Rattus norvegicus: one gene and its partner. The protein of the gene in region 1 binds, or shares a complex with, the protein of each later gene. Links are inferred from orthologs where the notes say so. Each region holds a gene or a part of one and is shown on either strand. Other genes may lie near its edges.

Evidence for each region. Proteins that work in one complex are often made in the same cells at the same time.
Region 2: Mepce (region 1) and Larp7 share a complex: the UniProt entries of both Homo sapiens proteins name them as parts of the 7SK RNP complex. The link is inferred for Rattus norvegicus from reciprocal best matches to the Homo sapiens genes MEPCE and LARP7.

The regions. Positions count from the first base shown.
Region 1 is NC_086030.1:24,546,596-24,552,112, reverse strand, and holds the start of Mepce (7SK snRNA methylphosphate capping enzyme), read right to left. Parts: upstream 3,518-5,517; 5' UTR 2,927-3,517; coding exon 1,343-2,926; intron 260-1,342; coding exon 41-259; intron 1-40. UniProt on the Homo sapiens protein: S-adenosyl-L-methionine-dependent methyltransferase that adds a methylphosphate cap at the 5'-end of 7SK snRNA (7SK RNA), leading to stabilize it.
Region 2 is NC_086020.1:218,673,912-218,678,028, forward strand, and holds part of Larp7 (la-related protein 7), read right to left. Parts: intron 2,706-4,117; coding exon 2,546-2,705; intron 2,415-2,545; coding exon 2,323-2,414; intron 1-2,322. UniProt on the Homo sapiens protein: RNA-binding protein that specifically binds distinct small nuclear RNA (snRNAs) and regulates their processing and function.

The DNA.
Region 1 (5,517 bases):
AAAGGTGATTATTCCCTCTCTCCACAGAAACCCAACTCACTGTGAGAGACTTTCTCCTGCAGTAGGACGACCACGGTTGGGGCTCCAGGACCAGAATGCCCCCAGGTCGCAGATGCCGGTAGATCCGGCGGAACATTCTCTTCAGCCCCTCATCACCCCAGTTCAGGTGCACCCACTTGGTGAGGCTGAAGCAGAGCACCACATCATACTCAGGTCTTTGGGCATCCACCAGCTCATCTCTGTCCAGGACATAGTTACCCTGTGGGCCAGAAGAGGGGAAGATGTCAAAAAGAGGGATGAGAAGCACTGCTGGCCCCACAACCACCTGAGGACTGAGAACCTCACTTCAGCCCTGTGGCTTCCTGAGGCTCTTCCCAACAGCACCCTCTTTTAGCCCCATGTTCTCTTCTCCCTTTTAAGCTCCTGGTGCTAAACCAAACAAACTTAAAGGGGAGCCTGGTTAGGTTTAAATTGAGCTAATTTATCTAATGGTTAACTGGAGAAATTACAGTGTTCCCAAAACCCTTACCCAGGAGACCTCACATACAAAGGCCATGCACTGTTTTAAAGACAGAGACTCTTAAGCTGTGTTTCAGGTCTGTTCTTTCTCTAAGGAAATAACCTTAAGAAATCTCTTTTTAAAGAAGGTAAACTCATCACCATTCCTGGGGAGACATTTCCCAGGCCAAGCCACTGGCAAAAGTTCCCCTGGATGGCCTAACAACTGTGTAATGGAGGGAACTAGCATGATGTCAGGCTGGGCACTCGCTCCATGTAGAGCCCTGCCTTCACTGCCCCTTCTCATTGTTCAGTCAGCATGGGAAGACAAGCCCATGAGTTCCTGACCAGTAATTTCAGCAGTCTGTGCTGCATCTGGGGAAAAAAGGCAAATAAAGTCCCTATCAAAGTCCCAAACTACACATATTGGAGTGTTTCCCCTCCCCCAGACACCCAACTTCAGGCTCCCTCAGGAGATTTGAGGACAAGGTTCCATCTGGACTCAACAGGAGAGGTTACCCTCAAGGGAAGCGGATTGTTTGGATTTTAGTCCCAGTTGGAAGCAGAACAAGTCAGCCCCCTATGTTAGGGATGAGATCCTTGTTTGTAGTCATGAGAAAAGACCAGATGTTAGAGCCTGAAGGTAGAGATCCCACTTTCCACGTTATAGGAGCAGAGATAACACACCCAGCAGAGATTCTCTGGCCAATCCAGACTGTTCTCTCCGGGAGATGGTTCTTGTATGAAGGAACAGATGCATGGATATGGCCATCCCCCCCAACACATCCCTACTTAATCTCATCTTCACATTGGGACCCTATTCCAAGAGCCTCTGGACTCTTACCGTGACGAAGACGACATTGTTGGGGAAGACAGATGTGTCCGCTCCATCCAAGGGCAAATGGGGTGCAGCGATGGGACCCCGGCTGGCTGTCAGTGAGGCTGGGAAGCAGCTCCTTTTTCGGACAGTGGTAGTCCCTTCCTCCCCCTCTGTCCCTGGGTCCCCCTCAGAAGTCTGAGCTTGGAGACGAAGCTCCTCGGACAGGTAGTGTCGGATATTTTGGCGGGCAGAGTGGATAAGTCGTGGATCAATGTCCAGCCCCACCATGCGGGCTGGGCCCCACTTGCAGGCAATACTTAGGGTCAGATGGCCAACGTTGCAGCCCAGATCTAGGACGTCCCGGCCTTGAAACCACTCAGGCTTCAATACCCTAAGGCGCATGTCCTCACAGGAAGGATTGCGATAGCCATAGTACTTGCAGTAATTCCCATACTGGAACTTGAGCTGTTGCTTTTTGAAGCCAGTTGCAGGTAGTGGGTGGTGGTGACGGCCTCCCCCACTCCCTCTGCCCTTTTCCTTGGAACCCTGGCTTCCACCCCTAGCCCCTGCCTCTGACTTGCTGGAAGTCCTGCGACGTTTGCGATGTCGGGAGGAGGAGGAAGAGGGTGCAGAGGTAACTGAGGCAGCTGGAGGGGCAGAAAGGGAGCCTGAGGAACCCTGCAGGGCAGACGGAAGGGGAGACACAACTTCATCCCTGCAGTTGATGGCTGTGTTGAGTTCATAGGGTTGAGGGTCATCTCGGTTCTGGCCTCTGTGCTGCTGCGTAGCACCCTCCCCATGGACTGAGGGTGTGAGAGGGTCAGTGGGCAGCACAGCTTGGCTATCATTCCCTCCAGATGCCTGCTGCTGCTGGTGGTGCGGTCCCCGGTGTCTATGGCGCTTGCGACCAATCTTGAGTGGTGAAGCAAGCACTACATGGGCTTCATCAGTGCACGTGTTGAGACTGAGTGGGTCAGTGATATCTTTTGGGATGAGGATCTCCACAGGGTCTCTCCCCTTGGCCGGAAGTGGGGATGACTTTGGGGTCTCCGCATTGAGTGCGCGACTCACTTCCTCATCCAGGAGGCTATTCAGGTTCAGTGGATCAAATATATTACCCCCCAGAAGGAAATTGGATGGTAACACGGAGTCGCAGTCCGAATTCACTCGCCGGCGCCTCTTGAAGGCCGGATGTTTGAAGCTTCCACCGCTCCCTCCCCCCACGTTACAGCTATTTCTTCTTTTGCCCCCACCACCCACTGGGGGTCGGTGGGGCTGGTAGCCATTGCGAGGTCGAGGAGGGGCTGGGGGACCCAGGTCCGTCCCGCCCCCTCCCCGGCGCTCCTCCCCCACGTCCGCAGGAGCGGCAGCTCGCCCGTGGGGCTCCCCATGCGTCTGTGCCTGGGGGCCGCCCCCTCCGCTGGCTGTGGCCCCGGCCGAGTGCGCGCGTGGGCCCGGCCCGCGTTCTGTCCCGTCGAGGAGCTCCCCGGAGGCAGCCTCTTGGTGCGATCGCACCTCGGGGCCGCCCCCTCCACCCGACTCATCTTTGAGCGGCGGCGGTGGGGCTGGCACCAGAAAGGGCTCCTTCTCCGCCGCCATCTCGATCATCTCCTCTCCCTGTTTAATTTCCCCTTCCCAAGCGAGGGTACTGAGAAGAGATCAAGGGGAAGCCCCCCTGTAACCCTTCCTAAGACCACCTCACTCCCTCCTTCCCCGAGTGCGCGCGCAGCTCTGCCTCGCGCCCAAGCGCCTCCACCTCCCTCCCGCAACACACCAAGCGCGCTCCACTCGCCCGCGAGACCAAAACAAGATGCCCGCGAGACCCGGACAAGCCGAGGAACCAACTGCGCGTGCGCTGACACCCTTTTCTCCGCCGCCTCTACCACTCTGCCGCGAGCGCGCACGACGGGCGCGCGTTCCGCTCGCCCAGGACCCACGCATGCGCGCTCCGCCACCACCCAGGCTGCGCGCGCATCGGGAGTGCGAACCAACTTAACGGCTCTGAGAGTTTAAATACAGCCCCCCCTCCCTAATAGCCTCACCCTCCCCCAGCCCGAGACGCCCACCGCCCCACACGGACACCCGACTTCCCTTCGCTGCTAAGTCCAAGCCCTACTGATATCCTTTGTCTCTGCTGTGAGATCCCACCCACCGTAGGCGGGGAACGGGAGCTGGTGTGAAAAGGTCTCCTTGACACCCGACCCTTGTTCCTGAGGAATGAGGCTCCGCGGTCTCCGCCCGGCTCTAAACCCAACAACCTCCCTGCCCCGCCTCCTTCCTCCCCCATCCCCGCCCCTCCTAGAGAGCGCCTGCGCACCGTCCTTTTGGGCTTGCGCGGGTTGAAGGGGCAACACGTGCTGGAGATGATGCTCCGCCCCCTCCGTCCTAGGGGCGGGGAGTATGACGTCGTTTCCTTAGGTTAGATGCACGCAGCGTGCGTCAGCACGTTTCCAAGGGTTGTGCATTCCCAGGAAAGGGGCAAGCTCATGAATTATTCATGAGCAATCTAGTCCTTCCCCTCCTTCTTCCCGCCCATCTCATTAGAATTAGAAGGATTTAGGAGAACCTGAGGGGGGAATGATAAAGTAGGCGAAGGAGTCGAGCACACTGTCTCAAGAACTGTTGTCAATTAAATGCAATACATTGTTTAAAATATTCTTCGAATTGAAAACAAGCAAGCACTAAAACATCGAGGCTGTACAAATTCCTCTTCCCCTGAAACGGCCTGGTCGTTCAGGCGACCTCCCTTCCACCAGCGAGGAACATCTAGAGAACCACGCCTTCCTCTCCTCCCTTCACCTACGTCAGGCCTCGGACGCCTCCGCTACAGTGCGGCGCCTGCGCATCAGTCCCCAGCGCGAAGGGTGGCGTTGTTGTTATCGTCAATGCCACCTTTCGCGTTGTGGATTTTACAGCATTATCGCTGCAGCTTTGCTCCACTAGACACACAAGCGAATGTGGGCGGGAACGGGTATCGACCTGTTTTGGGCCTTCTGCTTCGGCCAATGGGAAGCACTGATTCCATGCCGAGTCCCTAGACTGATGGCTGGCGGAGTTTCCCTGTCAGCAGACTATCAGAAAAGAAGCAAGAGGGGGGCCCAAGATGGTCTCAAAATATAAGAGCGTGACGGAAACTAAAAGATAGGGGTCATAACATGGAAACAGGAAGGAGAAGGAGATTTTAGGCAGAGACAAGAACGAAGTGCCTCAGGTGCTCCGCTGCAGCTTATGGGGGGGGGGGGGAATAAAGGCGCCGGCGTGGATTATGGGACTTGTAGTTTCACTAGGCTTTCACTCGGAAGATGGCGAGCTACTCCAGCTGCTCAGACGCAAAAGCGGCTTCCCTCGGCGCATGCGCACTACGTCTGTGAGCGCACGCCGCTTGGGGGCGGGATTTGTCCGTGTCTTCGCGCCTTCTCCTGGTGGCGGGAAAAGTAGCTCGAGGTGGAAGGGATGTGCGGAATGGCTGCGATAGCGTTAGCTGCGCTTCATCTTTAGGTCCTCGTCTCCCCAGAAGGTAGTTGTCTTTTATGCGGCTGCAGAGGAAGGTGTTAGCTGTGGTGAATCTGGGTACCTGTTGGCTGAGGAGAAATTTTCTCTTCAGAGTCACAGCGAACCCTAGCCTCTTCTCTTCAGAATCGCTAATCTTCAAAACACTCGTAACAAAAAAATAACCCAGTATTGTGGCGGGAAATGGAGAGTTGAGGGACAGTAGACTGAGCGGGAGCGGAGGGGAGGCTTCCACGGCGGGATTCTTGGTCAGGTGAGAGAATAGCAAACCGCTACTTGACGCTTTGAGGGGAGGCGAGGGTTGTTTGCCTGGGTGAGATCTTTGGTGTTAATGGCCGTACCAGAGAGAATTGATAAAGAAAGAGGAAAACTAGAAGAGCACTCAAAGTCCCCCCCACGGGGGAGGGGGTTCGGTTTTCATGGCGCCGCACCGTGATGGCTGTAAGCAGAAGTCTGGGAACATCCCCAAGGGCCAGCCTGAGGTGCGGGACAAGGTTGTGGAGGGACATGAGTGGAAGCCATCCAGAGGCTGAGGTCAAAAATAGAAATGACAACTATTGGAAAGAAACTGTTTTGCTCACAAGTGACCACAGGTCTTTAGGGTTTCTTCCACTCCCCCACCCCTGCTCTGAGCCAATACAGGTTACCATGAATTTTATTTGTAACGTTCTGTGGAAAGTTTAGTTTGG
Region 2 (4,117 bases), on another chromosome or scaffold:
CAGAAAAAAGTTATAGCTTAGTTTTAGGGGATCAGAAGTGCAAGGCTTTTCTCGGCTTGAGTGAGCTTGAGGTCAGTGTGTGATGCCAGGAACCCTGTCTCAATCACTCAATCCATTAATCAAATCTAATGTCATACCTGTTGATAGGAGGCCATAACAGGATTCAATTAAAACACTGTTTACAAATGGCAAGAATAAAAATTCTGGCTAGCCTAACACACTAATGATGTGTTTCCAAACAGGAATTCTGTCTTTAGCTGGGTAATATCCAGCAGTAATTCCAATAAAAGTCCATTTTGATTAAAAACAAAGTCAAACATCTAAAAAATGTGGGAGATGCCTCTGGGATAGGGCACTTCCTTCAAAGCCTGACAACAGGAGTTCCATCCTTGGGACCCACATGACAAGAGGAGAAGCTGCCCTTTAACTTCCATGCTGTGGCACAGGCACATCTACATGAAATGTAAAAATAATTAATTAAAAGTATTAAAGAATATTTAAACAGCTGAAGTGAAGAAATAAAAAAACCCTCACCCAGCACCGCAAAGCCTTGAGCCTTGGCTGATTCCTGGCTTCCAAGAAGTGAAAATTAAAGCACATCCCACCAAGACCTGGGGCAGAAAATCAAGTCATAGTTTCCTATGTTCGTAATCCTGAGTTCATTTACATTTGCCTGATTGCCATATGCAAACATCTGTGCAGAGAGTAAACACACTTTCTGTTGATCTGCTTGCGTTTTTTTGTTTGTTTGTTTTCTTTTTTTTTTTGTCCTTAACTCATGGAATCAATGAGCTGTCATATAAGGAAGGAATTATGTCATAATCACTGAAATTTTGTCATTGTTCTCTATGTACTTAATAATTCCCATTACTTTAGCCTAAAATGTTGCACTTCTGAATTTTTAAGTGGATCTGACAGCGGCCTGGTTTAATCTTCTGTGCCACACTGGCACTGCTTAGAAGCAAGCTAAGGGAGAACAGGAATGCGTTATCCACGCCTACTGCTCTGTTTGCAGGAGCACAGAGAGCATCAGCTGTGGCAGGTAGTCCAGAGGTAGAGGAAGCACTCCTTAACACCCTCAGGGAGCTGAGTTCAATCTCCAGCACCAGAAAACAAGTGAGATTAGCAAATGGTTAGCTGTGGTTCCCTTTCTTCTAGCTGGGTGGCAGCTCCATTGAATTTCAAACTGTGAAGGCAGCTAGCTTCAGTTGTTCCTATCTAGATCACGCCAACATCCCTGATAATGAAGCATGTTAACTCATAAAGAGTAACTGCTTTGTTGTTATCCCAGTTTAACTTTACAAAATGCTAGGTAAAGCACTTCTTTGCTTGAGACTAAAGTGATTAATAAAGAATTTAAAAATTAAAAATAGGGCTGGAGAAATGGTTAAGAGCACTGACTGTTCTTCCAGAGGTCCTGAGTTCAACTCCTTGCAACCACATGGTGGCTCATTTGTAATGGGATCTGATGCCCTCTTCTGGACACACCAGAACAGTGACAGTGTACACATATACATAAAATAAAAAGGTTTTAAGATTAAAAATAAAATGTTTTAATGACTAGTTCAAAAAAATATAGCCAATTCAAACAAACCCTCACACTAATTAGCAGAATAAATATTACCTATCTGTTCTGGATTACTACATTGCCATCTGAACTAGTTTTGAAATTCACACCTTCAAGAAGAAAGAGCCTCAAGGAAGGAGGCCTCCCTGTCTCCACTCAAGAAAAAAACTTGACAAAACCTAACAGTGGCAAGTGTCCTGTCAATCATCATCAATGCCAAAGGAGGAAAATGAAAAAACACACCAAGCCAATATGCATAGGAAATCTGCACCATGGCTTTCAAAGTTCTTAACAGTCTATTCTAAGCCCTTCTACTACAACAATATTTAAAAGAACAATCATCTGCTTTCATAGAATAAATGTCATTCTCAGTGAGCAACATATTACATTAATTATCATAGAAATAAAACTGTTGAATGAATCAGTTTGTTTTAATTATTTCAGTTTGCTGGTGCCACTTATCATAAAAAACGTGGCCATCAGAAACTTCACATGTGTCAAGCCTGTACAGAAGAAAATCTTTCTACAGGCACTTATCCGCAACCTACAAAGCCTAGCAGCTCTGAATCAGGACTGGGTCCACTTAAAATGCAATCACAGTTATGGATCCTTGTGAGAAAGCATCTTAACTCCATCTACTCCAAAAGCAGGAGAAATCTGCATTCTTTTTCAGTCTGAAGCAGTACTCTCTAAGAGGAAATACAAGTGAACTCATCCTCATTTATTACCATCAGAAGATGCATACGACTCCTTACCTTTTCTGTGCCTCTTTTCTTTTCCCGAGGTTGATTAAGTTTGGCTTGTCTATCTACCAAAATCTTCTGCCAGTACCTCTGCTCATGATCACCTTAAAAAGAAGCAAAAGCTCTGACCACCAGCTCGAGTGTTTGGGGGAAGAGGTTCATTAGCCCAGTGCAGAACAAGTAAAAGAATCCCCTACAATAATAAGTGTTCACCAGAAACACAATTGGGTTTTACCAGAAAGGATCTCGAGGTTCCAACTGTGCTTCTTTTTAATTTCAGTCTGTGCATTCATTACTGCCTGAGCATCCTCTGGGGTTTTGAATCGGGCATGGCATTCAGTATCTCCTTCTAGCAAATCAATGTAAACAACTTCTGAGATTGTGGCCAAAATATCCTATACAGGAAAGAAACATGAAAACTTAAAAATCACCTTAACAATGTCTGACAATAAACGAATGTAACCAGAGGTTACAAAATGCATTCTATCAAGCTACTCTCTAGTTGATGGGTAAATATATAAAATATTTCTAAAATATACAGAACTACTCTTCAAATACATTTACACATAAATGAGAAGCAATTTAACAACGTATGGCAAATTACTGTAGCTCATCCTCTTGAATGTGACTTTAAAATATGAACTGACAAGGGGATCAGCTGAGGGAACTCTTGTACAGTTGAACAGAAATGGCCCATCGCTCAGCAAGCTGGAAGGAGGTTAGTACGAAGAAGAGGAAAATACAAGGAGGAGAGGCTTGGAGAAGCTGAGTCGCACTCACCTACACAACACCACGTGTGAATGAACACAGAGAACCAGCTCTCAACATTGTACAATAACGGACAGAAACTGAAGGCTCTTGGGGAGGTTTACTGGAACACAGCCCAACAGCTCTCAGTTTTAGATAAAATACCTTAGTAACCTTTTCTAAGCAAGCTGAGGTCACCCAGCAAGGAAGAGTTTTACCTATAACACCTGCTGTGAGCTCTAATTAAGGAGATTCCTGCATTCTTAATCAAGTTTTTTTCCTCACACCAGGTTCTCCACAGAACACACTGCATTTATGCAGGAATGTTACAGTAATCTTATTGTTAAATGTCACTCATTAAAACTAAAGAAATAAAGAAACTGTTTAGTATAGAATAGAATTTTCTAGGCACAATAACTCAAATTCTTTTAAAATGTTTTAGAAAAAAAATTGAGACTTTAGCTATTGTAGGATAAAAGAGTGTATCCTTTAACTGTGACGGACAAGAGAACTGCAGGCCTAGAAGACAGAAGCTCACCCTTAACACATGCTCTGTAAGACAGGAACTTCCATACTGAAAAATGTTTCCTTCATCAATCAAGGAAAAAAAAAAAGAGAGAGAGAGAGAGAGAGAATGAGACCTGAGAGCCTTCCAATGTTGTTACCCAGTTAATCATTACTACGTAAGACACAGCAAGAGACCAGTCTGCACTGAGTTGATGAAACTGTAATGGGTTTCCTATTCGTGGTGAGAGTTTTATAATCAGTTTTTCAGATAGTTTAGAGTACCACAGTTCAAAAGGCATTTACAATTTATCCATTATAAAGTCAGGCTAATATCCTAATTAAAAACCCATATAATGACAAATTAATCTGGTAATCAGTGACAGCAACAGAGCTCAGTTTTTGTTTCAGAACAACTAAGTAATTACAACAGGACTTTCAACTGTTGCATTACCAAATTCTCCTTTGTGTGCTTGGGACTGAGTCCAGGCCTCCATGCTTGCACAGCATTTGCTTACTGTCAGGTTATTAAGCTACATTCTGTATTGTTACCATG